Regions from separate parts of the Mus musculus genome. Here regions 1, 2 and 3 are each reported to be linked to region 4. The links are microRNA targets in miRTarBase. Many come from high-throughput screens and were not tested one by one. Region 4 holds a microRNA gene; each other region holds the end of a gene's coding sequence.
Evidence for each region. The annotated mature microRNA mmu-miR-429-3p reads UAAUACUGUCUGGUAAUGCCGU and lies in region 4 at 3,608-3,629, opposite strand. An mRNA with a match to its seed (bases 2 to 7 or 8) in the 3' UTR can be bound and repressed. Matches are read on the target gene's strand: a 7mer-m8 pairs with bases 2 to 8, a 7mer-A1 pairs with bases 2 to 7 and ends in A, and an 8mer does both.

Region 1 (7,120 bases), not on the chromosome of region 4:
GGTGAGCACGAGAGCCGTAACTTACCAGCCTCACTTCCATGATTCAGCCTTGACGGCTGTTTTATTGGCTGTTCCCCTGGGTCCTCTCTGAAGGGATGCCCCTCTCTCACATGCTCAGCGATTGGCAGATTGAGTGGGTGACTGTCATCCGGAAGGCAGGCTCTTTGCCACATGTCGTATTTAGCCTTCTGATAAATGCAGCAGTTCCAGAAGAGAATATGCCATTGACTCTGTGGTGCCCAGCCAGCATCTGCCAGCAGTGGCTTTCTCCACCGTGCTGGGGCTGGTGTGTGAATGATTCACCTGCCTGTCACCTCAAAAGTATTGTTTTAACAACTCAGACGCACAGGTTTGGAGAAGGTGTCATTGGGAGCGGGAAGGGAAAACCAAGAAAGATAGGACTGAGGATTGGGGCCCCATCTGCAAAGCTCACACTCCTGTTAGCCAGGTCTTGGAATTGCTAGCAGGGTTTGCAGGAGCCCAGATGCCCGGCGTCGTCACCAGAGATGTGATTTGTTGTTCCCTCTCCGTCTGCAGGAATAGCATCACCAGTTGCAGGATGCGGACTGAGAGCGAGCCCCCATGTGGCTCCCCAGTGGTCAGTGGCGATCCGAAGGAGGACCACAACTACAGTAGTGCCAAGTCCTCCACTGCCCGGAGCACCTCTCCCACCAGCGACTCCATCTCCTCTTCCTCCTCCTCAGCCGACGACCACTATGAGTTTGCTACGAAGGGGAGCCAGGAGGGCAGTGAGGGAAGCTTCCAGAGCCATGAGAGCCACAGTGAACCAGAGGAGGAGGACCGGAAACCCAGCCCGAAGGAAGGCAAGGATGCCCTGGGGGACAGCGGATACGCATCCCAGCACAAGAAGCGCCAGCACTTCGCCAAGGCCAGGAAGGTCCCCAGCGACACACTGCCCCTCAAAAAGAGACGCACGGAGAAGCCGCCCGAGAGCGATGACGAGGAGATGAAGGAGGCGGCCGGTTCACTCCTGCACTTAGCAGGGATTCGGTCCTGTTTGAACAACATCACCAATCGGACGGCCAAGGGGCAGAAAGAACAAAAGGAAACCGCAAAAAATTGAAACAAGTCTCTGATTTGTTTTGAACTTATGGCCATTTGGTTTCAGCATGTCAGGAGATTTCTAATGATTTGTGGCAATATCAGCAATTTTTTTCTTTTTTCTTTTTTTTTTTTTCTTTTTTCCTTTTGTTGGTTTGGTTTTCTTTTCTTTCTTTCTTTCTTTCTTTTGTTTTTTAATTTGCCCCCCACTCCTTTGTTTTTGGACCCTTAAAATTTTTTCTGTTTAAAGGAGATTGAAGCCATAGAAACTCATATTGACACTCAGCCGTTTTACAAAAGCTTTTCTTTATCTGAATACAAAAACCGAAAGGAAAAAAAAAAAAGCCAAAATTAACCATTGCTTCCTGCAGCCTGTCAGAAACCTGTGGCTAAACCCACAGGGCTGTCCATGTTAATGCCACAGGAACATGGAGCACCACCTAGGAGGCACACACGCACACAGAGTCAGTCGTCACTGCTCAGCCCAACCCTTAGGTTTAAGAAGTCAGTTGTGTTTGGAGTGAGGCTGGGAAGCAGTTACAGAGACTGAAGAGCCCTTGTCCCCTAGAGGATAACCCCATGCTCTGGCCCTGGCATCCCAAGGTACCACAAATGCCATCGGCCTTGCTGTGTGGCAAGCCCAGGGCCTGGCTGCCAGTCCTCTGTGTTTCTTAGCCTTGAGCCTGGTAACATCTCCCAGGCTGAATACCAGACTGTTCAGGTGTATTAGGTGTCAGTGACTGAGGAGGGAAAACAGGGATCGTCAGAGCCATTGATAACCACTGAGTTCTGCTCTATGTTAAATTAAGAAGACTTCCAAAGCCATAAGCCTGAAGGTTGGTCCTGTGTGTGTGTGTGTGTGTATGTGTGTGCGCGTGCATGTGCACACAAACACACAACTTAAAGGTGATGCAGAAAATAGGCTGTGCCCTCTTAACTGCCCAAGGAAAAGCAATCATGCCCAAGAAATGACAGTAGCTGTTAAGAAAAATGGTACAGATTTTTTTCCTCCTAAATAAATAATCTGACCCAAGTTGGGAGGGGGGGTGCTACGGAAACTGCCATTAGTATTATGGTGTCTTTATGAGATTAAAGGCACATTGATGGACTCAACAAAGCAAAAACATGACAAACAATACAACTCCTGTACTGTCCTCAAAAAGGGTTTGCAATTAATATCAGTACTCATTTTTGCAACAAAGAAAAACAGAACAGATCAGTGACTTTCACATTCAGCCAGTGTAGCCAGCAGAAATTTCTGATCCACAAATGCATGGATTCCTTTGAAGAAAAAGAAAAAAAAAAAAAAGAAAAAGGAAAAAAAAATCACAAAAACAAACTTTTTTTTATTCAAAAATAACAAAGTTCTTGTAAGGTAAATAATGTATTTAGCATGAAGCATGAATTATTTTCATATAAATATAGAGAATAGAGAGAAGACTATGCCTCTAACTTTTAAGCCCTAAAGCTTAGAGGCCCTTTGTTCTTTTTCTTTCTTTCTTTTTCCTTTTCCTTTTTTTTCCTTTTTTTTTTTTTTTTGTTATTATTATTTTGTTTTTTTGTTTTTTTTGAAGCAGGTGTTTAAGGTTTAACCTTCTTCAGGGACAAATTCTGACTGTTGGGGAACTTACTCTGCAATATAAATTATCTTCATGCTCTGGTAGGGGCTTGGATGGTTGAGCTCTGTACTGCCTTGTCTGCACTCAGCCCCGACCCCCTCTGATTCTCTACTGAAGAGTGTGTCCTTCCCTATGTCTGTATGTGTTTAACACGACGCAATAATTCGAGGGCAAACTTAGTGTGTACGATAGACTCGAGAGAGTTATGGGACGCTTACTTGAGGAAAATCCTTACCGTGATCTGGTTCTAGGAAAAAGGCAGTGAATAATTATGCAAATTCGCCAGAAGAAGGGGAAACACGCTAATGGGCCTTACTGGGTGAGGGTAAGAAATGGGTACATGGGTTGGAGGAAGTACGCCATCAAGGGGTTGGATGGAGCAGCCCCGAGCGAGCGAGCGAGCGTTCTACTGTGACAGTGTGATTGCGCAGTGAGGAGGGGGCTGGCCATCTCTGCCACTTCGGCACAGTAACCACCTTGGGACTAAGACCACCTAGATAGTGAGAGCTGAACAACAACCAGACCATGTCACACAAGCCAGAAACTCCAGTTACCTTTGCCAAAAAAAAAAAAAAAAAAAAAAGGAAAAAAGAAAGTTTTTTCCTTGAGGTCTAAACGAGAAATCCCTAAAACAATATGGCCTCCCGTCCAAATGGAGGGAACATTTAAAAACAAAATCACTACCGTGGCTCAGGGTCAGATATTTGGAAGAGAGAGGAAAGTAAAGTGACCTTGAACTCTTGAAACAGGGCAGTGGTGGGCCTTTAAAGCTGTGTCCACCTGTCAGTACCAGGTACCATGGCAACGGCGGCAGCCACTTCCCCCTACCTAACCTGAGGGCAGCTTTTGGGTGGGAGGGGGGCACCCACTCTAGGGCAGGCTAGATTTACCCGCAGCCTGGGCTCTCTCAGCGTGAGGGTTCGGGGTTAGATGAGAGCACGGGTGTGTTCTCCACAAACCTCTGGCACCCAACAAGCCATCCACAGCTCTGGAACCCTGAGCCACGCTTTGGTTTCTGCTGTCAACTTACCAAGTCCAAAAGATTCCCCACCCCCACCCCCACCCCACCCCCAAGATGTTCAAACTCAGACCTGAAGGTAAAGGTAAGCACTCAGCACTGTTTGTGGCAGGGGGCTTCTTCCGATGCAAACCCCACACGGCTGTCTCCCCTCGGTTCATTTTTTCTGAAGGGGCAGAGGCCCCTTTCAGAGGTGACAAGATGCAGTGTGTGTGTGTGATTTACTTTTCTGATCTCGTGGAGATCTGGAGAACTATCTTATACAAGTGTGTTCTGAACCGCAGAACCACTCCGTTTGCATAAATACCTCACCGGGCAGCTTTCTAAGTGTTATTTTCCTGAGCCTCCCTTGGCACCTTCGTTGGAATTTTCTGGAAGACTTGTTGGGGAAACTTTAGTAAGGGTACTGTTTTCTATTTTCCTTCTGTTTTGGGCGGCATACGCATTATGCATAACCAAAACAATGGCTCAATTGTGTTTAACTCTGTATTTTGACTGTTGAGGCGAAAAACAAAGTCATCAATGTGTATGTGGCTGTTTGTAGCGAAGTCTGCCGAATGAGGCTGTCCGTGTCCTTAACAAGCCAAGGGGCAGGAGGCACCCTCTCTTTCCCCTCCCCCAAGAGCAGTAGAGAATTTAAGCACAAGCCTATTTGTGAAAGAATATTTTGCTTAAGTGTAATTCACTTTAGTGTTGGACTTCCTTCCCAAATGTCAGGTGTTCTTTTAGCTTTCAAACTAGCCTGTGTATCCATTAGTCTGACAGATCGCCTGAGCATCATTAAAGGGATGTGGTGGGGTTTTGTTTTTGGTTTTGTTTTTTTGGTTTTTTCCTTGCATTTCTCCTGTGGGGAGAAGTGGCGGGTTAATGTGTCATTCCAGTATCTCACGGACTCACATGGGGTGGGGGGAGGGGCAAGTGGGGAACTATAGCAATATCTGCAGATGCTTTGGGGACACATAGCACCGCGACATAACAACTGCCGGCTGTCAGCCCTCAGACACAGTTAAGAGAAGAGAGAGACTCACTCTCTTTTCTTAGGTGATGCTCACATCCACGTGTTTTACCCCGCTCCTGACAGTCTTTCCTCATTCTCTAGTACTTTTTTGGAGAAAGGGTCTGCACCGTACTTAGGTTTTCTTTCTAATATACATCACCAAGCTCCTACTTCCCTCTGCATCTCCAGTCAGTATGTTTTTTTTTTTTTTTCAGGAGTTCTTTTAGTAAAGCTGGCTCTCTGAATCTAAAGCTGAACCAAAACCACACACAGATTGTGGCATAAGGAACTCGTGGTCAGGATGACTGGGGCAGGTCTCCATCTTGGGGCCACGTCTTTCAAGGAGGGATGGGTTGGCGCCCTTTCCCAAGAGCGGGTTTTTCCTGTAGTCGCTAGCCTGTCTATTGCCTCCTGTTCAGAGCAGTTCCGACCACGGAGCTTTCTTGAAGGACGATTGCATTCTGTGGCGCCCGAGCCACAGATGGGGTGGTTTTGGTGCTTACAGTCCCAACACAGCAGGCCCATGTGCAATGTCCCAAGCCACCAATTTGGGCTTTATCGATGCTACTCCAACCTCTGTACTGTCCCTTGGAGGGTGGAGGAGCCTATGACATGATGCCAGAGCCAGAGTTAGGGACGAGTGACCGGAATGGGGAGTTTTCCCATATGTGGGATTAGACTAAATTCAGTGTGATTTCTCTTTGCCCTTTCAAACCTTATTCAGGTTGGGACTCATTTCTTTCTGGTGGATCACAGCTACCCAGATGTGTAGATTGATCTCTATGTTCTATAGAGAAATCCTTTTCTTTCATCTTCAGCAGGGTTTTTATTTCATTTTTATTTTGCCACCAAAAGAAAACATTGGAGCATACGTCCCCTCTTGATTGTGACTTTCCAGTGTTGACCGTTCAGTTCTTTGTGTTGTAGGTCCCAGCCCACCAGTACTATATCAAACACTGTTAGGCTCATGATGCAGCACTGTGATCTAATTTAAATAATACTTTTTTATTATTTATACTACTATATATAATATACATCAACACTTTTGCTATATAACCTAAGTGATAAACCCCTTTTTTTGGTTACCTGTCAGACTCTAGACTTTGGTTTCTATTGCAGTTAACACAGTTACAGAATTGTAATGGTGTCTTGGTTGTTTTGTTTTGTTTTGTTTCTTTTTTCTTTTTTCCTTTGTAACGGAATGTGTAAATCAAAGTATATACATTGTGTGGTGTTCCTGTTTCTTGGGATGTCATGAGGAGTTACACACAGCATTCAGTGTTCTGTATAGACCTGCCCACCTTTGTGAATTCATCTGTTAACTCCTCCTTTGAGAGCACGCCAGCCACGGTGGCTAACTCCCAGCGTCCTCTCTCCTGCTGGCTATTCTTGAATTAAGCACAGACTCGTCCACTCGGTTGCTTTATCATGAATAATGGGTGTGACTTGGTCACTCTTCCGCCCTTCAGCAAACAAGTGCTAGCTTCACTGACCAAAAATTAAGGAAGGAAAACACCATTTTTAAAACGATCCACCTTTTCATGGCCGAGACGGATGTTAGTCTACGGTGCTGCCTCGCGCTGCCGAGCCTCCGGAACGAGCCCGCTGTGGAATGACCATTTCTGACTTGCTGTGGGATGCTCAAAAGTACCCTTCCTGTCTCGTTAGTATTGGAATCAAGACTCTTTATTTGGACTCTATACAGCAGTGTTCCTCCACTGTGTTGCATTTGCAAAAGTAGAGAACATGCCTTCTCCACCCTTTTGCAAATAATTGATACTCCATATTGGATTCTCAAAAGACTTCGATATGGTGATCCTGTCAAACCTAGAAATTGTATTATCTTTTCATACCTGACTTCCCCGTTTCTAAAAGTAAACAGCACACTTTTAGTTACAGACACAGTCGCCATTTCTAGAGTATGTGTGTTGAAGCCATCCAAGGTCATAGCTGGCTCAGCCAGCCTCACTCCATCGTTCTCACTGCCTGTCCTGCCATGGTGAACATGGGGAGAGAAAAAGAATCTGTGTGTGTCTGGGAAACAGCTACATCAACTTTTTATTTTTACTACTCTGATTCTGTAACACTTCTGAGTTTTGTTGTAATTTTACAGAAAACAAGACCACAATGATAAAGCAGAAAACCACACGGTTTGTGGCTGAATCTTAGAGTCACCTGACCTTTCCTGGCCAACAGGTCTACATGGCCAAATTAATTTACAAGAGTAATAATTTCTTCAGAAGCCAATTTTTTTTTCTGTATTTCTGTATAAAACTGCCAATATCATGAAGAGAAGGGGAGAACCGGAAAGGAGAAAGAAAACGATGTTTGGTGGTGTTTGTGTTAGCCTAAAGCAGCGGTGTGGAGATGGCTCCATCAGCCGAGCTCCAGGGACTTGGTGTTGCTTGGGAGGGATCCATACAG
Region 2 (7,120 bases), not on the chromosome of region 4:
CCTGGGTTCTATCCCCAGCACCACATAAGCTTGCATAGTGTTGCATGTCTGTACTTCCAGTACTCATCTGAGGTCAGGGAGTCAGGAGCTCAAAGTCACTCTTGGCCACATAAAGAGTTCAAAGCTGGGCTGAGCTACATGAGACCCTGTCAATAAAACTAAAAAGCTAGAGACAGCTCTGGCACAGCTTGGGTTGTCACCATCAATGACTTCATGTATCTGGCCACACAACTCTCCCTCTCCCCTCTCCCTCTCCCTCTCCCTCTCCCTCTCCCCTCTCCCCTCTCCCCTCTCCCTCTCCCTCTCCCTCTCCCTCTCCCCTCTCCCCTCTCCCCTCTCCCCTCTCCCCTCTCCCCTCTCCCCTCTCCCCTCCCCCTCTCCCTTTCTCTTCCTCTTCTGTTTGAGACAAGGTCTACATAGCTTTGGCTGTTCTGGAACTCACTATGTAAACCAGGCTGGGCTTGAACTCACAGAGATCCACCTGCCTCTGGCTGCCAAGTGCTGGGACTAAAGGTGTGTGCCACTGTGCCTGTCCTTCTAATTCTCCGAGCCACTCAAATATTTCCTGGGAATGTCTCACCTCTGTCTTGTGCTAAATCTTCACCTGATAGATAATCACTAGCTCTGAAATATGGGGGAGATGGTTCCTCCTCTCTGGAGGAAACAACTGAACAAGATGACTGCTCTCTCACAGGTCTGCAGAGCTCTCTGTGCAGGTGGCTGGCATGTGTGCTGGATGTGAGGTCAGGCTTGTGCTGGAATCTCCTGTCAGCTTTGTGAGTGAGTGAGTGTGTGTGTGTGTGTGTGTGTGTGTGTGTGTGTGTGTGTGTGTGGTTTTTAAAGATGGGTTTCTATATGTAATAGCCTTGGCTGTCCTGGAACTCACTGTGTAGACCAGGTTGGCCTCAAACTCAGAGATCCACCTGACTCTGCCTCCCAAGTGCTGGGATTAAAGGTGAATGCCACCACCATTCCCTGATCATGTCAGCTATTGATCAGAAAGACAAACTTAGTTTCATTGTAAAAAGTGGAGATCCAAAAGGCCTGCCTCACAGGGAGATACATGCCGTCCTATGATGTAGTCTATTGGAAAAATTCAGACAACAGTGGCTTCCCTATCTACCCTCTTGTCCTTCCTGTAGGGAAGTACATTGGGCAAATGTTTCCACACTGGAGACTTCACTTCCCTTTTCAAAAATTTAAGGATGGGCTGGCAAGATGGCTAGGTGGGTAAAGATACTTGCTGCCACGCCCAGTAACCTGACTACCACCAGAACCCACATAGCGCAAGAAAAGAACTGACTCCCGAAAAGGATTCTCAGATTTCCATACATAATGTGGCATGTGCCCATTAATAATAAATACAAGTTAAAAAAAAAAAAGAGGGGGAAACTAGTCTAAGAACTGAATGATACATGGAAAGTAAAATTTTAAATTAAAAAGAATTTAAAACTGAGCCCAGGTGCTAGAAAGAAAACCCCAGACAAACATAAACTGTTAGCAGCTGTTAATTAGCAACTTGGCCTGTGTGTTTATTGTGTTTACATTTAATTTTTGGTAAAGGTTTGTAAAGAGAAACACAATGTATTCATGACATCACCTTCTAAGAATCACCGTTCCGCTAGACTGAGATGAAAAAGATAATTGTTTGTTTTTATAACTCTAGTTCTTCTGTTATCTTCTTTGTCCTGTGCCTATGAAGCCTTGGCCCCTCCCACTCTCACATCATTGGCCAACTCTGATAGGAGACAAGATTGCTAGCTGGTAAATCAATCTATCCAGAGAAGAAAGAAAAAAATGAAAAGAGCACTATGCCCTCTTCTTCCTCCTCTTCCTCTTGTCCTCCTCCTCCTCCTCCTCTTCTTTACCTTCCTTTCCTTTCCTTTCCTTTCCTTTCCTTTCCTTTCCTTTCCTTTCCTTTCCTTTCCTTTCCTTTCCTTTCCTTTCCTCTCCTTTCCTCTCCTTTTCTTTTTAAAGTCAGGATCTCATGTAGCCCAGGTTGGCCTCAAACTCACTGTGTGACTTTGAATCTTTGACCCTCCTCCTTCACCTGTTGAATGCTGGGATTATAGTTATGACCCACTGGGTCTGGTTTCACATGTGCTGAGGATCAAAGCCAGAGCTGGGCAACTCTACCAAGTGAGTTACACCCCTAGGCCCTGCCATGTCATCCTAACTCATCAGTAAAGGCTTCCGTCCTTGTTGTGATTTTAGACCAAAGCTGAGACCTTGAGCATTTACCCAAGCGCTCTGTCACCAAACTGCACCCCGGTCGACGAAACACCTCTACCAACTGGCCCAGCTTGTTACAAAGACACTTTAAGATGGTGATGTTCAGCCCTGATTTTGAGGCTATGAGAATTAATAAATTTTGATGAAACTATTTTTTAACAAACAAAACCCAATATCTAGTGACATCTAGGATAAAGTGGGCACTTTTATGCATAGCTTAATTAGAATAAATTGTTTGAAAAGCAGCATGGCAAAGACACCTGAAGCATATAAATGCATCTCCTCTCGAAGGTGAGAATTCTCTTCCTGGGAATCTTTTGAGAGAAGTGAGGGGGGGGGGTCCCCAAAGCAGATGCGCTCATAAAGGAGCCTAACACAGAGTTATCTTACAATAGTTAGAATGTGGGCTAACAACGTGGGCTGTCACAGAAACTATGAAGCTCAAGAGAGTTTGGCCACAGTATGGGGTCAAAGCAGGCATGCAATCTTATCAAAACTATGTGTAACAATAGAGCAACATAGGAAAACTTCAAAATGCACAAAAAATCCTGAAGGGAACTTTGGCAAATGTTGGCAGTAACAGGCTTTCTGTGGTAAGAGCCTGAATGTGGCGGCTCTTCTTTCTTTCCAAAATTCATGTTGTTTCCACGTTTTTCATCAAGATTGTGCTGTGCAGCTTTTCTAAGGAAGAAACTATTAATAAAAATAATAACCATTCTTTAAAAAAACATTGTGTGTGTGTGTGTGTACACATGCATACACTCACTTGAATGTGTATGTGTGTGCTCCTGTGAGGTCACAGGTGTATGATCAGGCACCTCTGAGGAGGCCAGGGGACAACTTGCAGGAATCAGTTCTCTCCTTCCACCATGTGTGACCGGAGGATCAAACTTCTGTCAGGCTTGGTATCAAGGGCCTTTTACTCACTAAGTCGTCATCTCCTGGGCCTAATGACCATATTTTATAGAAGGAAGTCAGCATAGTAAGGCCACATGGGATGCTGGGTTGTGAGAGCACCCCGAATGGGATGCATAGGAACACACACACACAGTGGATCGTCCTAATTCCAGAAGAAAGATGGGGCTAGCTGGGAAGGAGCTTATGGCGTTTTCTGTTCTCTTCGAAAGGGTGCTGGATTTCCATAGGGCCTGGGAGCACCCAGAGAACAGGAGTCCCCTTCCCAGGGACAGTGTCTGCCGTGTTGACTCACCTTTAGTGTCACGGGCATTATCTATATGCAGGAAAATGGAAAACACTCATTCATCAGTGAGACTTCAAGCCTACACACATGGTTGTGACAAGAACTTTTTACAAAAGGAACCACTGCCTCTCCTCCCGCCTCCAATCCTCTTCTCTCCTACTCACACAGAGAATACCTCTTAGGAAGAGAATTGATTGGAACGAAAGAAAAAAAGGAGAAAACTATCCTTTGTTAGAAGCAAAGCCCCCCAGCTGTCTGAAGCATTTTCTTTAAAGCAGGGCAACCTCTTCATGTGTTAGGGACAGAGAATGTTCTCCAAACCCCCGCAGGCCCTCCTCCTGTGATGTGGCATGTTTGCTTTGCAGGTTTCAGGCATATTTGCTGACGTCAGCGACCCATCAAAGTTTAAAATAATAATAGTCAAAAGGAAAACAGCTCCTTTCTGCCAGGCAGTCGCGCTCTGCCAACTTCTATGTTCCTTCTAAGTTAATAAACGTCCAAGAACCACCCCCCCACAACCCTAGGGGGAAGAAAAAAAAAAAGCATGATAATTTAAAAAACCACCAGGTCAGCCCATTGCCAGCATAAACCATTCAGACAGGTGGCATTTGTCACACTCTAATGAGGATTTTACCTCTGCCTCCACAGGCAGGCTGTCATTAAGCTTTGTGTCTACCGAATCAAATGACTGGGAAGGGGGAGGCTCTTTTGGTCAGTTTTTTTTTTTCCCCTTCCTCTTTTGAATGACGCCACAGAACCAAGTGTAAGGATGTTTTCTGCATCAGACAAGACTACGCAACATAACGATACCAAATAAAGTCTCTCAAAAAGTATCAAGTATTTAAGAAAACTCTTTTCATTTTGATTTTGCTTGAACATCTGAAACCGGTCGCCTGTGTTATAATCCTACGGTGGCATCAGAGTGGGGACAGTCTGTGAAAAGGGGACGTTCCAATAGCGAATTGAGGAGTTCAGGAGGACATGCTCCCATTGGGGACACTCAGACAGGTGATCACGAATGGGAAGAAACAGTTCCAAATCCCACGCTTCTGTACATATCTTTGCATGTCATTGTGGGAACGGTAGCCAGCCCCTCACTAGTTCAGTTGATACCAGCCTTCTGCGCCTCACTGACAACACACACACACACACACACACACACCATTGTTAATACTTCCTCTGGACAGATTAGATCCACATTCCTCAGAAAGTACTTGGCTCCACAGGGAAATGGACAAGCAGGCTCCTTCCACTGGCCCAACAGCTAACTACAACTGATAGGTTTAAATTGAAATACCTGGAACAATTACACCGAGTGCTCCCCAGCACTCTCACCAGCTACAGGAGACAATGTCACCCTTATATCTCCCCCCTCCACGCACAGAGGAATGGCCAACCAGGGGCAACTTTTAAGTCTTAACTCAGCTTCATGCACTTTCCCCATGGCTCCCTGCTATCTATGGTTATTCTATTTGTTTACCCACCGTGGCCTATCAGATTCCTCCCCCCCCCCTTTTGGGGCCTTTGCTAGTAAACCCTGCTGTTTGCACCTGAAGTTAATTGGCACTTGCAGTTTACTTGAGAACCAGAACCTCATCTCCAACCGAAGATACTGAAGTTGGACTTGGGTCTGGGTAAAATTCATGAAGATCATAGCTGGTGTTTAATCACGGAGCTGTAGTTAGCAGCTAAACACTATGCGGAGATTCTTACTTCCAACTTGTAGCTGACACCAGAACGTTCTTTGAAAACAGCAAAGCAGGCTGCACCCCCTTCTGCAGCTCCCCCTTCTTAACTGTAATTGAATCATGAATTACAAGCCAGCACCTCTGCCTTTGCAGAAACACACCCCAAAAAGCCAGACTACATTTTTACCCTGGATTATGTATGCCAGGATTTTATAACTCAAAGTGCTATGTTTCAGGCTGAAGGTGGGGAGCCTTTAACACAATGTATTTAGTAAGGAGAGGCCCAGCCTTGCATCCCAGTGCAGTTTGGCCTTTGACAGAAATAAAAGGCAAATGATTTAGCAGATGGGTAATTCCCAAACCTGAAGAAATGTAAACAGTCAGGATTTTGATGCCTATGGGTTTTATCAAAGATGTTAAGCAAGGCAGAGACCAACACTAGTGCGCCCTCTTTGGCTAGTTTGAACACGTTTCCAGTCACAATTAACATTCAAGGAATTTCCTTTCCATCCAAGTGTTTTCTTTTAGCAGCACTTTATGCCACAGACCAAAGTTCTAGCTGTCATCAGTCCTTCCCATGCACAGGAGTGGTAAAAAAAAAATGTCCCGTAATGTTTTCCTTTTCTCTTGTTTTGAAAATGGGCTTGGACCTCATCACTTACCTAATGTGTTTTTAAAAAACAGGGAGGGGTTCTCACCTCCTGACTCCACTTCCCTCTAAAGCTTAGAAGCTTAGGGCTTCCTTGTCCAGGACCCTCCTTCACACTCACTCTCCAGACCCATCCGTGGGAACTCTGAGCTCACCCCCATGGCCTCACTTCATGTCCCTGAGCAGGCCAAACCAGTGCATTCTGCAAGCGTCTAAGCTTGCTCCCTACTACTTCTACACAAGGGATTCACACACAGGGGGTACCGAGTCTGAGTCTTGGCTATGCATGGAGCTCAGCCCAGTATCTGAGTCCTCATCGTTGCCCGGGCAACTCTTAGCCAGTCCCCGGGCCTGGTCTACCCACATTTCTGCACAGGTCTGAGGCTGAGGTTCGCGAGAGGGTCCGCTGGAACCCAGAGCCCCATCATGCACCACCGTCTGCTCAAAAGTGTGCAAACTCTGGAGAAGGCCCTGAAGCTCGCGCTCCTTAATGTCCCTCTGCTGCTGGCTGTAATCCAAGTCCGCCTTGACGGCCTCCAGGTCCGTGCTGAGCCTCAGCCCGATGTAAAGGCTGGTGCTGAGCTGCGTCCTGACCCGCTCCTGCTCCAGCAGCAGCTCGCCATCCGGACCACCATCGGGCTCTAGGGACTCCTCTCGAGCCGCCAGCTCCTCATTGCGCCGCTGCATCCAGCGCTGGTTCAGTTCCTCCTGGATCTCGGCGGACAGGCGCTCTAGCAACTCCTCCTGCTGGGCGCGCTCCTCCTGCAGCCGCACCAGGTCGTCACAGCGCCTGGCCAGCTCCTCCAACGCTGCCGCCTGCGCCTCGCTGTCCAGGGGTGCCGCCGGTTCTGTCCCCTTCTCCTCCAGTGTCGCATCTTCCGGCTCCCCTTCAGGAGTTTGTCCGTCCAGGTCGATGCCGGCCCCCACTAGATAGGTATCCTGCACGTAGTTGACTCCGTGCCTCCGCATGCGGTCTAGGTGCACCTTGGCTTCGTAGCGGTCTATCTCGCGGTCCAGCTCCCGGAGCCGCTGCACCTGCTGGCGAATCGTGTGGTCCTGCGACAGCACCAGATGCACCAGCGTCTCCATACGTTCTACCGACGCGCTCTCGTGGGTCCGAGCAGACGACGAGCAGGACGAGGCGGTGGACGACGACGTGGACGAACAAGGTGACGACGGCTGCTGCTGGCGCCTCCGGTTGAGCTTGGCCAGTTTGCGGAAGGCCTTGCGTACCACCCGCCGCTGCTTCTCCTGGGTCAAGGCCAGGCTGGGCCGTGCTGGGGCGCCCCGGGCCAAGCAGGGGCGCTCGCGGCTGAGCACTACCCGCGCCTCGGCGCTGCGCGGTCCGGC
Region 3 (7,118 bases), not on the chromosome of region 4:
GTGGTAGTCAGTAATCCCAGCCTTGGGGAGTCTGTGGCAGGGAGAGTAAGAGACTTTGCTAGCCTAGTCTATAAGATGAGAACCTTTGTGGAAAACATTACCCAAGTGAAAAAGATCTTAGCAGATGTGTTCTTTTCCCTACCCTAGATTATCAGACTCTAGAAAAAGAACTCGCACAGGAAGATCATGGCCTGCTGCAATACCACATTTGCGGAGAAGAAGAGGTCGCCTTCCACGAAGAGCACTCCAGACTCAGAACTCAGAAGTTGTGAAAGATGATGAAGGCAAAGAAGATTATCAGTTTGAAGAACTTAACACAGAAATTCTGAATAACTTAGCAGATCAGGAGTTGCAGCTCAATCACCTGAAAAACTCCATCACTAGTTATTTTGGTGCCGCAGGTAGAATAGCATGTGGCGAAAAATACAGAGTTTTGGCTCGTCGGGTGACGCTTGATGGGAAGGTGCAGTATCTTGTGGAATGGGAAGGAGCGACTGCATCCTGACTGTAGGACTGAACGTAATGTTCACTGCACTCGTTTTCTGTTGGTACAGTTAAAAAAAAAAAAAACAAAAAACAGAGTGTGGGTTTTATTATCTTTCTTAGAAAAACAAACAAAGAGAAAACACAAAAATATTCACAAAAGGAGATGATACTGGCCTTAAAACATGTTCTTGTCAATGTTATGGATATTGTCATAAAAAAAGATATCTTTTAAAAATCAGAGGAGAGACTTAATTTTTTTAAATCTTAAGATTTGTAGACTGTTTCTAGGATAGGCTATTAAACATGATTCATACCCATGCATGGTGTTAGATACTTTTTATAATTATTCCATTGAGTCAATTTTTGTGATTAGTGGTTATCAGAGCAAACAGATCATGTAGATAGCACAAGTATTTGGAGAAACATTGTGTGTTTTGTTAACAAAATGTTGGAAAGATTTATTTCAATACCCTTTAGATTTCATAAAGTGCAGTGTATATAATGTCTACTGAAAGACTGTAAAATATTGAAATTTCTTTCAAGCAAAATGTAAAAAAATATATTGAGCCTGTAAATTGCTCTGTGACTAGACTTCATTGTCGTCTTAATATATTCTTTGCATGTACATGTATATACACACATGTGTATATATATGTGTGTGATTATGTGACCTATGCAATACAAATTATGGGAATGGGCAGCTTTGGAGTATATATCCCATAATTCTTATTTCAGGAATAGTTGCAGTATTTACACAGCAGCATTTCTTCTCAGGCGTTTATTGGGTGCTGTTGCTTGCTATGTATGAAGAGAAATGTGTCAAGTTTAGTGTGTACTGAAGAAGGGTGTGAACAACAGTGTACATGGGCTTTTAGAGGGCTTTTCAGTCCTTGTAACTCAGCTGTTGAATACCTAAAACAAATTCGAGTGATAACTACATTATTTCCTATTAGAAGTGACGTTTTCAAGTGATTGTGGCACATTATGATTGTAAATGTCTCAGTTTTAACAGCAAGTCTGTGGGAGCCCAGTGAAGACTCCTGAAATGTCTGTAGTAACTGTTAGTCATGTTTGAGTAAGCGTAGTATGAACAAAGTCTTTTATTGCACAGGGTTAACAAACAGTATGTTGCTAGCTGAGGCTAACTGCTGTTTTATTACAACATTACCTCTTGTTTTTATAAAATGTACCAAGATTTTAAATTGATATCTTTATTTTACGTGTTAAAAAAAAGTTTCTTTTATCACCAGTGTTAGAGTTGTCTTCTGTTTTTTTGGTTTGTTTTGGTTTGGTTTTTTTCTTGTTGTTTTCTTTCTTAGCCAAAGAGTAAACAGAAGAATATTATTTTGGTAGCTCTTCATTTTACTTTTATAATGATTGGTGGATTTTAGACTAAAAATTGGGGAAATTTCTGCCAAAATGAAAAAATATGTGACGTGTATTGATGACAGAATGCTAAAATTGTGGTTAGTGCTTATTTATTCCATTAATTGATTATTTGCCTGTTTTTAAAGAAACATGCTTTATTTCCTTAAGCATCTTCAAAAGATGACTTTTCTTGTCACATTGTAGCCAAAAGAAGCAGAGAATTTCTTGTCCTGCTTTTGGTTCCTGGTTAACCAGGTATAATGAGCTTTACAAAGTGCAAATTACAAACTGTCACTTCTGTTCACCTCCACCAAAACTTGATTTCCCCTAGCTATTAATTTAAAGTTGCCTTTCCTGCAGCTGCAATATTTTGAATAACACAGAGATTGTGTTAATTTTTGAATGTTTGTTTATATCTAGGGGTAATGGAAAATGTAATTCCCGTGTAACCTTATTCACTCCAGCTGTATCATATTTCATTTTTCCCAAAGTTCTTTAATTTTAACTGAACACCAGCAGTATTTTTAGTAATTCTTTAAGATACTTGGAAGACAATTTATCAAGCTGAACTGTCTCTAGACTTAATTATTGTGAATGTCTGTTTTCTTTTATCATGGTGGTTCACATGGCTCTGATGTTCAGTTTGTATTTTTGAAATTGCTTTACTTAGAATTAAAACAGACCAACATTAAATGTGTGTATTTTTAAAAGAGCTAATGAGTTTTTCTTCTGTATCTGCTTGAAAATACACACTGGTGCAGCAGTTAACTGCTTTTATTTAGCTAGGGAGGAGGAATTTTCCAATTCTTTTATATACTTGAATTAGTCTTGAAGAACTTTGCTTCCATTTCCTTTTGTCATAATGATAATAGTGTATGTTCACTGTGAGTGATCTTTTAAAAAAGGATTACATGCTTTGTATTTGAAAGACAGTGTTTATGTCCTTTCCTCTTCCAAAGACTGTAGAAAAATCAGGCTTCACAGTTGTTTCTTCTTCCTAGGTATTGGGGCACATGTAAACAGACTTCCCGTTTTTGCTATTTTTTTTTTTTGACTCTAATCTACAGAATAGAAAAGTTGTAAAATAATATACCTTCCTTCCTTTTTCATTTTAAGCATTTAAGAGAAAAAGAGAGCACAGAAGCTGTGAATCTTGGCAGCTGCTGGAATAGGTAAGCGTAGGTGAAAAGGACAAAGTCCTGTTGTGTTAGGTTCTGGCACGTTCAGCAAGCAGCTACACGGCAGGAGCGGAAATTTTTAGGAAAAGCGTCGTGGAAGTATTCCCAGGTTTTGTAAAAAGGTAGAAGGTAGAAGGAAAGGAAAAGGCTCAGAGAGACTTGGCAGCAGCTCCAAAAGAGACCATAGGAGACCTTATGTAATCGCTCATTTGTAACCACCCTGTTCTTTAGGATAAACCAGTTAAGTGAGTGTGTGTGCCTTACCAGAATAATTGTAAATCCTCAGTGTTTGACTTCATGCGCGCACGTGTGCGGGCTGTGTGTGTGTGTGTGTGTGTGAGAGAGAGAGAGAGAGAGAGACGTGCACCCACATTGTGATAAGAGTCAGGTCTTTCTGGAACGATAGCTATTGGAAATCCGGGCACGTTTGAGAGCTGAGACTGTCCCATCTTTATTTTTTGTTGAGTATTTGTTTTCTCTCATGGATATAGTTAGATTTCTGTTTATCAGTGTTGGGATGAAGTTCTATTTTTGGCTGATTTGTACTCCTGTTAGGTACTATTAAATTTTAGTTATTAAATTTTGAAAGAGGGTGTTTTAAGGCTAACAGATACCCATGTAATAATTAAAGATAGATTTCCCCCCACCCCCAAGGCCCTCTGTATGGAGAAATTTTCTTTTCTGAATTAAGAGTACAAAACTCCAGAAGTCCCATTCAGTTTCTCTTAAGGCATTTGATATGTCATAGTTTTTGATCATGGAAATGAAAACATGACATTTAAATGTAAAGTAAAAGCTTTGTCTGATCATGGGTATTTTTCTAATTGGTGTTAGTTAGGATTCATAGATAATTCTGATACATTCTGACATGTGAGAAACTTGCAGCATCTCTAAGCAAATAGATGGTATATATACAAATGTTTGTAAGTTATAATACCAGAGTAATAGCTACATGAAATATTAATTTACTTTATTTTTTAAATTAGAATAAAGTCAGTGTGTGGATGTATGCTAGTATTTCTTACCACTTGAGAGGCTGAGATAGGAAGATCAAGAGTTGGAGGCTAGCCTGGGCTATATAGTGAGACACTGTCCAAATTAATTAAAAATTAAAAATGAACAAGAATAAGATTACAGCCTGGCGATGGTGGCACATGCCTTTAATCCCAGCACTCGGGAGGCAGAGGCAGGTGGATTTCTGAGTTTGAGGCCAGCCTGGACTACAGAGTGAGTTCCAGGACAGTCAGGTCTATACAGAGAAACCCTGTCTCTAAAAACCAAGAAGATTGTAAATTAACAAGATGACTGCCCATTTGTACCTGGCAGAGTTCTTTATTAGCCAACTCTCTTTGTTTATTGGCATTTTCTGTTTCTGGAAATGAATACAAAAATTGAATTCTTAGTAATTCCTTTTCTTCAAAGTAATTCTTTGGTTACTTAAGAGATTCCCCGGGCTGGTGAGATGGCTCAGTGGGTAAGAGCACCCGACTGCTCTTCCGAAGGTCCGGAGTTCAAATTCCAGTAACCACATGGTGGCTCACAACCATCCATAACGAGATCTGACTCCCTCTTCTGGAGTGTCTGAAGTCAGCTACAGTGTACTTACATATAATAAACAAACAAACAAATAACTCTTAAGAGATTCCCCATTGTGTATAAACAAAGAAACAAAACCTTCACAGGTTATATATTATGTACATTTGGATAAAACATATCCTGCCTAGCCATTTGTCAGGATGCAGGCCTGTAGTATTATACTTGATATTTTCTACTTGAGAGGCTGAGATAGATTCTGTCTCAGAATTACTAGTTTCTGTTGTGTTTGTTGTATTTATAGTCAGTCATTCTTTTTGCCCCTTTGTGACATACATTCCTCTAGAAGCCGATGTCAAGTTCCTGAATGAACAAAATTAGTGTATGGGGAAAAGAACAAGAATAGAAACTGGATAACATTTTACTCAACTGCATCTGACAAAACCAAACAAAAGCACATTATTCTGTAGTCTTTAGTTGGGATCTCTTCAGGCTTCTGAACAGCATCTCTGTGGAGCTTATGGAACATGCTCCCTGTGTGTCATGTCTGTTTGGAAGGATCACATACTTAGGCTTGAAAACATTTGAAAGGTCTGCCCAAGCCTGTGGACTGCCTCTCGTGTAGTTCCTTATTCTCATCACCTAGTCTTTGCACAGTTAATAACATATTATTGTTTTTATTTTATTATGGTATTCCACCCTCTATTAACAACATTCCAAAAAAGTTGATGCCCATCTGAATTTTTTTAGTGGTGGTGTGGTGATTGAAACTGGGTTTCTCTGTAACTCCCACTGTCCTGGAACTCTGAGATCTGCTGCCTCTGCCTCCCAAATGCTGGGATTGAAGGCTCTGGCCAACACCACCCTGTCTGAATATATCCTGCTGGGCTGGACAGTGGTGGCACCCATCTTTAATCTTATTAATCCGAGCACTCGGGAGGCAGATCTCTGTGAGTCTGAGGCCAGCCTTGAGCAAGTTCCTGGATAGCCAGAGAAACCCTGCCTCAAACCAAAAAAAAAAAAAAAAAAAAAAAGCAAACATTTAAAAGAAGGTGTCATTTAATAGTATTAGTGGAATGCACAGTAAATTTTAAGGAGCAGAATTTGAAACAATATTACTGCTAAAAATTTTGTTGAGTTTTGTTTAGTTTTAGTTTGAAATTAAATTATGTTAAACTACTTTTTCTTCAACATTTATGTGTTACTTGTGAGTCCCTGCATTGCATGTGTGTGCACCATCTGGGAGCAGGTGCACAAAAATGGTTTGGAGAGATGGTCTGGACCTCTGAGGCAGATGTGAGATGTGGGTCCTCTGAGAGGGCAGCATCTCTCTAAACTCAAACTTTCTAGAAATATCCCTGAAAAGAAGCTTCATGGAATCTTTGAGTCATTTAAGACTCAATTTTGATTTCTATATCTACTCTTATCTACTTCCAGATTTCATTTAATAAGTCCATAGTGAAAAAATATTTGAACTGTAACTTTATATTAGATTCTCTGTCTCTGCCCTCCCACCTTTCTTTCTTTAGGCCCTGGGTAGTCCAGGCTAGCCATGAAATTGCTGTGTAGTTGAAGAGCAAGAGCAGTGTATGTTGTTAACCTCTAAGTTATCATTTTTGCTACCTTTTTGTTCTTTGAGACTTGCTTTCCTGTAGGAGGAGATACAGAAATCATGCTGCTCTGAATCCTTGATCCTCATCTTTACTGTTCTCATGTATTGGGAGTGCCATGCCTAGCTCATAGTAGGTACTTTAATCAACCCCTAAACCAGTTAGAGAAGCACATTAAGAATGCCTTTTATCCCAGCAGGTGGATTTCTGGATTCGAGGCCAGCCTGGTTTACAGAGTAAGTTCAGGACAGCCAGGACTACACAGAGAAACCCTGTTTTGAAAAAACAAAAACAAACAAAAAAAAGAATGCCTTTTTATTTGGAAGTCTTGTAGAATGTAGTAAATGTTTTCATGCTTTTATAAGAACAGTTTTGCTGGGCTTGGTGGCACTGTCTTTAATCCCAGCACTGTGGATGCAACAGCAGGGAGGTCTCACTCACTTGAGGTCAGCCTGATATATATGGTGATTTCAGGACTACAAAGTGAGATATGTCAACAAATAAGTAAAATTAATAATAAAGTCATTTTTGAGGCTATAGAGATGACTCATTGGTTACAGTGCTTAGTGTACACATTAGGATCGGTTTGGATGCCTAGCACCTACATAGACCTCAGAAGGGTGCTGTAACCAATAACCCTAGCTCTGACGGGGGCAGAGAGGTGTATTCTGGGGACTTACGCACTAGTGTCATCAAAATAATGAGCTCCTGTGTCAGTGAGGAAAAAATAGAGTGGAGATCAATAAAGGAAGGTACCCAGCATTGACCCCACGCGTGTGTGCGTGGGCAAGCAGCATAGCGCACCCCATGGTGTATGTAAACTTTTCTGTCTGTAGGGAATTGTGAGCGTTGCTGTGTTGCTGTATATAGTGGTGCTCACAGAGATTTAGATGGGATTCTTACTCAGCCCAACCTAGGTGGTTGCTCTCACTTGTGCCTGTCT
Region 4 (7,120 bases):
TGAAGTTTTCTCTAGACACACACACGTTTGGCAACACAGGGCTCTGAGAAGGTGCTGACATTTTTTGAAGGGCCGGTGCCTCCCAAGCTGCGCTCACTGTCTGGGGATGCGTTCTCTGTGGATCTCAGGAGGTGGCCCTTCTGAGGGGTCAGTTCTGGGGGAGACAGACACGGCTCTAGGCAAAGAGCTCCTTCTAAGGGGTCCCAGCCCTCCCCAGAACTTGAGTTGCCCACATGGACCAGTCCCGCCCCACAAGACACGCCTTTGTTGGCTGAGACACTTGGGTTTGGAGAGTGTGGCCTTGGCAGAGGGCTGAACTCAGCCAAGCTGCCCAGTCCTCTCTCCTGTTTATCTACTTCCGGAAAGAGTCAAAAATGAGGCACAGGAGGGCAAGGACTCAGCCTCAGTCCTAGTCAGGACCCTCAGCTTGTAACCACCTAGTCTCTCTTACCTGCTCTCAAGGTCTTAGGAACCCTCTGCTGGGATACAACAGTGGTGACCTGGCAACTGTCTCCAGGCAACTGTTACTAGGGAACTATGATTCAGCAGCTGCCCAAAGGTAAACAAGAGTTTTAGGTGGATGGTGAAAGGGACCATTGAGTTGAAGGGCAGCCTTACAGAAGTTGGGCAAAGCAAGAAGTGGAGAATGGGTCAAATTGATCTGAGGAGGCTGGGGGGAAGCTGTTCCTGAGTTCACAACGCCATCTGAATCTGGGGCATAGCCCCACATCTTCCATCCTCCCATGAACTATATATATATATATATATATATATATATATATATGTGTGTGTGTGTGTGTGTGTGTGTGTGTGTGTGTGTGTATGTATATGAAATTTTTAAAAGATTTATCTTATATATGTGAGTGTACTGTAGCTATCTTCAGACACACCAGATGAGGATATCAAATCCTGTTACAGATGGTTTTGAGCCGCCATGTAGTTGCTGGGAATTGAACTCAGGACCTCTGGAAGAGCAGTCAGTGCTCTAAACCACTGAGCCATCTCTCCAGGTCCCCTTCCCCCCATGAATTCTTCCTAGATGATTTTGAGTATTCACAGGGACTCCTTAATCCATACCTAAAGAACTAGGATCTAACACCAAGCATGGCTCAAAGTGGCTTTGAGGCCAATTTGTAGTTTCCTGCTGGGGTCCTTGGGATCTGGTGTGACTCCTGCTTTTGACCCCAAGTTTTCAGCCATATGGATCCACATTCCTGTCATCTTTCAGAGCCTTGCAAGGATCACAATAACTTGACAGGGGCTACATGGTGCTTCCAAAAACCAGGACCATATCCTGGAGTCCATGACCGTGCCTTTCTAAAAATAGAAATCTGTACAGATGTCACTGAGTTAGAATTTTGGGTGCAGTCATCTTGTGTCAACCAGCCGTACTCTAAACCCAGTGACTGGTGACCTCTTTAGAGGGAAGCAGAGATAAGGGTATGTGACTGTAAGCCACAGGACCTGTGAACTAAGACGAGGAAGACACTTGAAGACTCCCTCTAGGGCCTTCTTGAGGTTCTAGGGGCATATCTTGGAAATTCTGGAAGACAACTGTTGTCTTTGGCTACCCTGTAAATCTCCTCACCTTCAGGTTCTTTTGTGGTTCTGCTCATGTTAAGGGGCTCTAGCATCCCCTTAGAGGCTGGGCATGACAAGTCACTCACGTGGCCTTCCCTAGTCTAAGCTGCCAGTGTGGGAGCTTGTGCTTGGCAGGTCTGAAGGAGCACCATTTCTCAGCTGTGCCCAGAGTCCTATGGCGATAGGAGTGCCCCATAGGTTGTCATTCTCTACTTGTGAGATCTGCCCTTCTTATGCTGTGCTGGGAGTCGGGGTCTCTGTGGTCAGTCCAGTGCTGGATCAAGAGACCTCTCTGCTCTAGACTAATAGTACAGTGGGACTGCAGGTGGGCTGGGGCACATAGCACTTCTACTAAACCCTGGGCTGAGTTATTGGGGCTGAAAGCCTCCAGGCTGGACAGGTAGCTCACCCAACCCTGGAGAGGCTTTGGACCAGCAGCCAGCTGTCTCTGATCCTGGCTATGACATTTTCAATGCACACTCCAGGAGCTGGGGATTGTAGCTCAGGGGTGGAGTGATTGCTTTCACATTCATAACACCCTGGGCTTGGTTCCTGCACAAGACACCCAATTCTCACTCCAAGGCTGACTCTTGGCTGAGACAGGAGCCCCCATTTTCCTGATTCACCTGTCCTTGGTAGGTTCTAGAGTACATATTGCATACCAGAGCTGGTTTGTGTAATGACTGGCTGGGTACAATGAGCCCCATGTCTCTCTTCTATCTGGCGGGAGCACCGATCACTGGAGTCCCCGTGTCCTCGGCTTGATCCTTTGCAAGGCTGCTTGTTAATGTTTTGTACGGTGAAAATGAGATGATCAACATAAAATTTCAGAAATCACACAATTTATTGCCTTACAAAGATTTTTTTTGCCTGCATTTTATTTACAATGCTTGAAGAGATGACAAAAAGGGGACCACCTATTATAGAGCGCACGATGGGCGGACAAGTCCCTCAGCCACATAGAACTTGGAGCCCAGCAGGTTTCTGTGGAAGATGAAGTCCAGTGTCCCTATAATGGTTCTTTAGAGGAATGGCCTGTCCAGGGCTAAGAAATCTGTTAGGGCATGTTGGGTTCCTTCAAGAGGGCAGTGGATGAGGTAGGGTTTGGCTCTGCTGGACTCAGGCTGTATTGGCCAACTTGAGGTTTGCAGAAGTCTAGGTACTGAAGCCAGCAGCTTGCAGATGAGGTCTAAGAGGTTCACTTCTAGTTCTTATCACAGCAACACTCAAACTCCCCATATAGCAAATGATGTAAGCATTGGGAGTCATTCTAGAGCAACCGTTTTAGCAACAGCCTTTTGAAAATTCTCAGGGACATGGGGTGGGGGTGGGATCTTTAAGATCGGGCCATTCAGCATCCAGAGTTAGACTGAAAGATGACTCTCAGATCCTAAGAGCCAGAGGTGGGATGCATAGGAAGAGCTCATAAGCAGGCTGACAACGGCAGAGCTGTGCAGCCTTGTGCATATTCCTGGGTATGAGTCACTATCACCTGGTCTGGCACCTTGGCAGTGCCCCTGTCCCTGAAACCCATATACTTATTTTCCACTCCGGGTTTGGGCACAGTGGTTAGACTTGCTTTTACTCTCCTTGGTTCCATGACCTGAGAATTTTGGAGAGGAGACAAAGGACCAAGGTTTTAGATCTCCTCTTGTCTCCTACCAGTGTTGATAGCACAGGGGCTACAGAATCTGCAGGTGACAGCTGACGACAGATCGAAGTCTCTGTGTGGAGCCCAGTGGGCTATGGAGGGCAAGAGGACTGTGACCGCCCCACTGACTATTCCTGAAAAGGATGGATACGGAGGCCTCAGTCTGCTGTGGCTGTAACCGAAAGCTACTACAGGGTCAGAGGAAGGCAGTCAGGCTCAGCGGGGCCTGTATATTTAAACTGTGGTCTGTTTGCATAGAGGGCTTGATGAACCCAGCTCTGGACAGTTGTAACAGATGGATTAAGGTCTTGTCTCTACCCAGTGTCCACGAGGTGGTGAGGATGTCGTCTCCAGCGGTGATAAGGCCGTGGATGGACGGCATTACCAGACAGTATTAGACAGATGCATCCAGATCTAACCATGTCTGGTAAGACATCCATCAGCAGGGCAGTACAAGGGCCTCCCCATCTGGGCAGTTGGATTTGATACCTGTAGAGGGAAGGCCAGGGTTGGCTTCCTGCCTGCTCTGGTCCAAGGGCCATTCTTGGGGTTCACCCTTCTAGGACCTGGGACTACTCTAAGGACTTTCTTACCAGGGCCCAGCTTGGTTGCCTGTTCCTCAAGTGTGGAAGTCTGTGGGTGCAACAGGAGAGTCATCTGCTCACTCTTACTTGGCAAATGCTCGTCATAGCACCTCTTTGGTTTTCTGAATGGCTGTCAGCTTAATGAGTAACATTAAAGCCAGGAACAGACTCCTTCCCCCGGAAGAGTCATCTAGGCTGATACTGGGTGGGGCTCCCTGACCCTGTACTCTGGCTCCAAGTAAAGAAAGATAAGAAGTAATCCTGGATTCTGGTTTGGGGCAAAGTTCCTATTCTGGAAAGCCATTGGGAAGGAATAGAGATTCCTTGTTCTTAATTAGGAAACAGCTGATGACGTCACAATTCTGTGTACCAGGCTCAGGTCCCCGAACCCACCCTTGCCCATTGGTCCCATAGGCACTGACAGTCCTTATGCTAACACTGCTATCCATGTCTCCTTACCTAGCTCAGCATCCTCACTAACCCTCACAGTCTCTCTAGGAATCAATGAACCCCCAAATCCAGCAGAGGAGTTGGCAAAGGTGGGCATCGCTGCTCTGAGAATGAGTGACAATCCACTTCTACTCCAGTACCCCTGGCATGGTGAAACCATCCCTTGTCCCAGCATGAAGTAATAGACAAGGGTCAAAGTCCAGCCCCCACTGACTGCTGATCTGTAGAGCTGAGACAGGCCCTCTGCACCCAGCACCCAGCCTCGGCCTAACTGGAGTCCAGGAGGACAAGTGTGTATCATCAGCCTGTCTTCGGCGAATGGTGGGTCACCTTTGAACATCGTTACCAGACAGTGTTAGAGTCAAGCCAAGAAATCCAGCACTGTCCGGTAAGATGCCCACAGAGGCCCAGGTATGCTCTGGCAGGAAGACACAGGTGGTTTCCACCCTCAGGGAGGCCCAGTGGAAACCTGATGCCATGAACAGCCAGAGACCGTATATGCATCGCAATAAGCCAGCAGAGATGTTGACCCTAACTCATACGGTCTGCTTTGTCCAAAGCAAGGGGACAGTGACACATTGGCTCAGTGTGCATGTTGGAGGTGCTGTTGGTCAATAGGTCGGTGCTCACTTGATGCAGGAAGGTAAGGTATCCCAGGCTTGAGTAGCCCCACTAGGGGGTCAATCAGTACACAGCTCCTAGATGTAGGTGAGGCAGTTTTTGGCATGAGGCCCTCTGAGCCTAGGCGGAGACTTAGCCCTTTAGAGCCTTTGCTGCACTTCCACCCAGCGTACACCTGCCAGGTGTGGTGGCAGCACCTGCCTGGGTATTGTATGCAGAACCCAGGCACTTGACTGTCCTAATTCCCAGGGCATTGGGAGGGGGCGCCCCCAGGGCAATGGGAGGAGCCTCTCACCCCAGGATATAGAGTGGCCCTCAGAGGTGCCTGGTTTGGGGGAACTCTCCCTAAAGCCTCCCACCACCCATATCGCCAAGGCTAACTCTTTGCCCCATAGCCCTACCTTGGATAAGGTAGGTGAGGTGTGGAACTGGGGCCCCTGGAGGCTGGGATCAGGAGGCGGCTCCATTGCTGCATGCAGGGCTCCGCCGTCATCATTACCAGGCAGTATTAGAGATCAGACACTATCCAATGCTGCCCAGTAAGATGGCCACGGCTGCCCAAGTTGGATATGGAGGCCGCCTAGCAGGGAGTTGAAGATGACTAGATTCCATGGGCAGGGCCCAGATGCCTAAGTGTCCTAATCCCCAGAGCATTGCAGAAGGAGGGCACCCCTTCAGGACAACAGCAGAAAGCCCTGCATTCTCATCTCCAAAGATAGGTAGTGGAGAGGTCAACAGCTTGAAGTAAGATCAAGTTCTCTTTTGGAAATTAGATGGAAAATAATTAGGATGGGGGTCTTATAGGCCCTGAAGCCTCTTTCTTGCCTCTCTATAAGGCCCAGAGGAAGGACTTAGCACCCATGGCCATAGACAAGTTCCCCTGCCCAGCCAAACCTGACCTGCAGTGGACTAGCTTGGGGCCCAGGTGAGGACTTTGAAGGGTCAAATAGTCCTTCCCAGAGGCTGACAGCCCGAAAGAGCTGGGAGGCAGGCTATGTAGACTTCCATGTGACCAATGGCCAGGTCAGGATCAGGTCATAGACAGGCCCTCCATCTGAGTATATTCACTACAGAATAGCCTAGACAACAGGTCCAGTCCCATTAGGGTACACAGTGTACTTAAGGTTGATGAGGTTCACTCAGTGGGCCTCTGTCTCCAGGATACTGTTCAAGTCTACTTTCCTGCCCAGCCCCTCTTGCCTTTTTCAGGGCCCAAGAAGGATACTGGGATGAGGGACCAGGGATCCAACACTTCAAGCGTATGGGAAAAGCAGCCCCCAGTATGAATACAATAATCACATACCCATAGAAAGATCTTTTTGTTGCTAAGGACATAGCCTGTAGTCTCCCATACAGAGCCAAGAAACTAAGCACCTGTCCCAAGGATACTTGGGACTGAAAGAGACTCAATCTGTGCCTCTCCTCATCCCAAGTCCGTCTTTACAGAAGTATTTCTTCTCGTTTTTCTGGTCTTTTCTATCACAGACACAATACAGGTGGCTCAAGCCCTGTACTGATTTCCTCGGATCACAACGAAGGCGTGTGTCACTGCCTCCAGGCAGCCGCTAGTTCTCCAGCCTCTCTCCTGAAAGCCAACATTTCTGAGGACCTGACCTGAGCACAGGCTGAGCAGATGGGAATGGACACTCTATAGGAGCCTAAGGTTTTAGAAACTGTCCTAACTCTTCGTCTATCGCCTACAAGGTTCCCAGTGCTCTCAAACACCCGTCAGATATACTTCCCCTTTCCCGAACTTTTTTAGTTCTATCCTATCAGATTCATAAAACCGGTGCTTCAAAAGGACTTTCTCTCTCTCTCTCTCTCTCTCTCTCTCTCTCTCTCTCTCTGAGCTTTGGCAAACTAAGGATTCTATTTGAGAACTAAGTGGACTAAGCAGAATTTCAGTTATCCTTGTGGCTTCAGAGCCACAAAGAGTGTGGGAGCTGGGTGAGGGTAAGCACCAAGGATGTTGCCTTTCCCCCTTCTGGTTGTGCCAAAGAAACAGGGAAGACGAAATGGTATCTAATGATGAGCCTGATCCCTGCATCCTTGACTACTCAGGGTGAGCACTTCTTAGGGAACATGGGAGGCTAGGGGACTCTGCCAAGTGCATAGCTGGCCCGGGCATAAGCCAAAAGGTCAGATATATGGGGGCAGGTGCTCAGACAGCAGTGTGTGTGTGTGTGTGTGTGTACAACCTTCAAAATGCAGATTCTGTAGGTCCTCCAGCAAA

Region 1: the mRNA of Foxn3 is a reported target of mmu-miR-429-3p. Seed matches in the 3' UTR shown: 7mer-A1 at 2,129-2,135.
Region 2: the mRNA of Rassf10 is a reported target of mmu-miR-429-3p. Seed matches in the 3' UTR shown: 7mer-A1 at 4,602-4,608.
Region 3: the mRNA of Mtf2 is a reported target of mmu-miR-429-3p. Seed matches in the 3' UTR shown: 7mer-m8 at 1,231-1,237 and 7mer-m8 at 2,371-2,377.

Annotation. Positions count from the first base shown.
Region 1 is chr12:99,190,231-99,197,350 of GRCm38, reverse strand. It overlaps Foxn3 (forkhead box N3), which reads left to right. Exons shown (of 6, transcript NM_183186.2): 6 at 538-2,257. The coding sequence ends at 1,084. Among named protein-coding and RNA genes, the nearest start is that of 4930474N09Rik, 31 kb to the right of the region's middle.
Region 2 is chr7:112,954,605-112,961,724 of GRCm38, reverse strand. It overlaps Rassf10 (Ras association (RalGDS/AF-6) domain family (N-terminal) member 10), which reads right to left. Exons shown (of 1, transcript NM_175279.3): 1 at 4,267-7,120. The coding sequence ends at 6,005. Among named protein-coding and RNA genes, the nearest start is that of Rassf10, 4.2 kb to the right of the region's middle.
Region 3 is chr5:108,106,441-108,113,558 of GRCm38, forward strand. Mtf2 (metal response element binding transcription factor 2) reads left to right here. Exons shown (of 15, transcript NM_013827.3): 15 at 148-2,779. The coding sequence ends at 505. Among named protein-coding and RNA genes, the nearest start is that of Tmed5, 23 kb to the right of the region's middle.
Region 4 is chr4:156,050,309-156,057,428 of GRCm38, forward strand. Mir429 (microRNA 429) reads right to left here and starts at 3,679; the gene lies at 3,597-3,679. It overlaps Gm13648 (predicted gene 13648), which reads right to left. Exons shown (of 2, transcript NR_132444.1): 2 at 2,407-3,721. It overlaps Mir200a (microRNA 200a), which reads right to left and starts at 4,677; the gene lies at 4,588-4,677. It overlaps Mir200b (microRNA 200b), which reads right to left and starts at 5,442; the gene lies at 5,373-5,442. It also overlaps a transcript of Ttll10 not described here.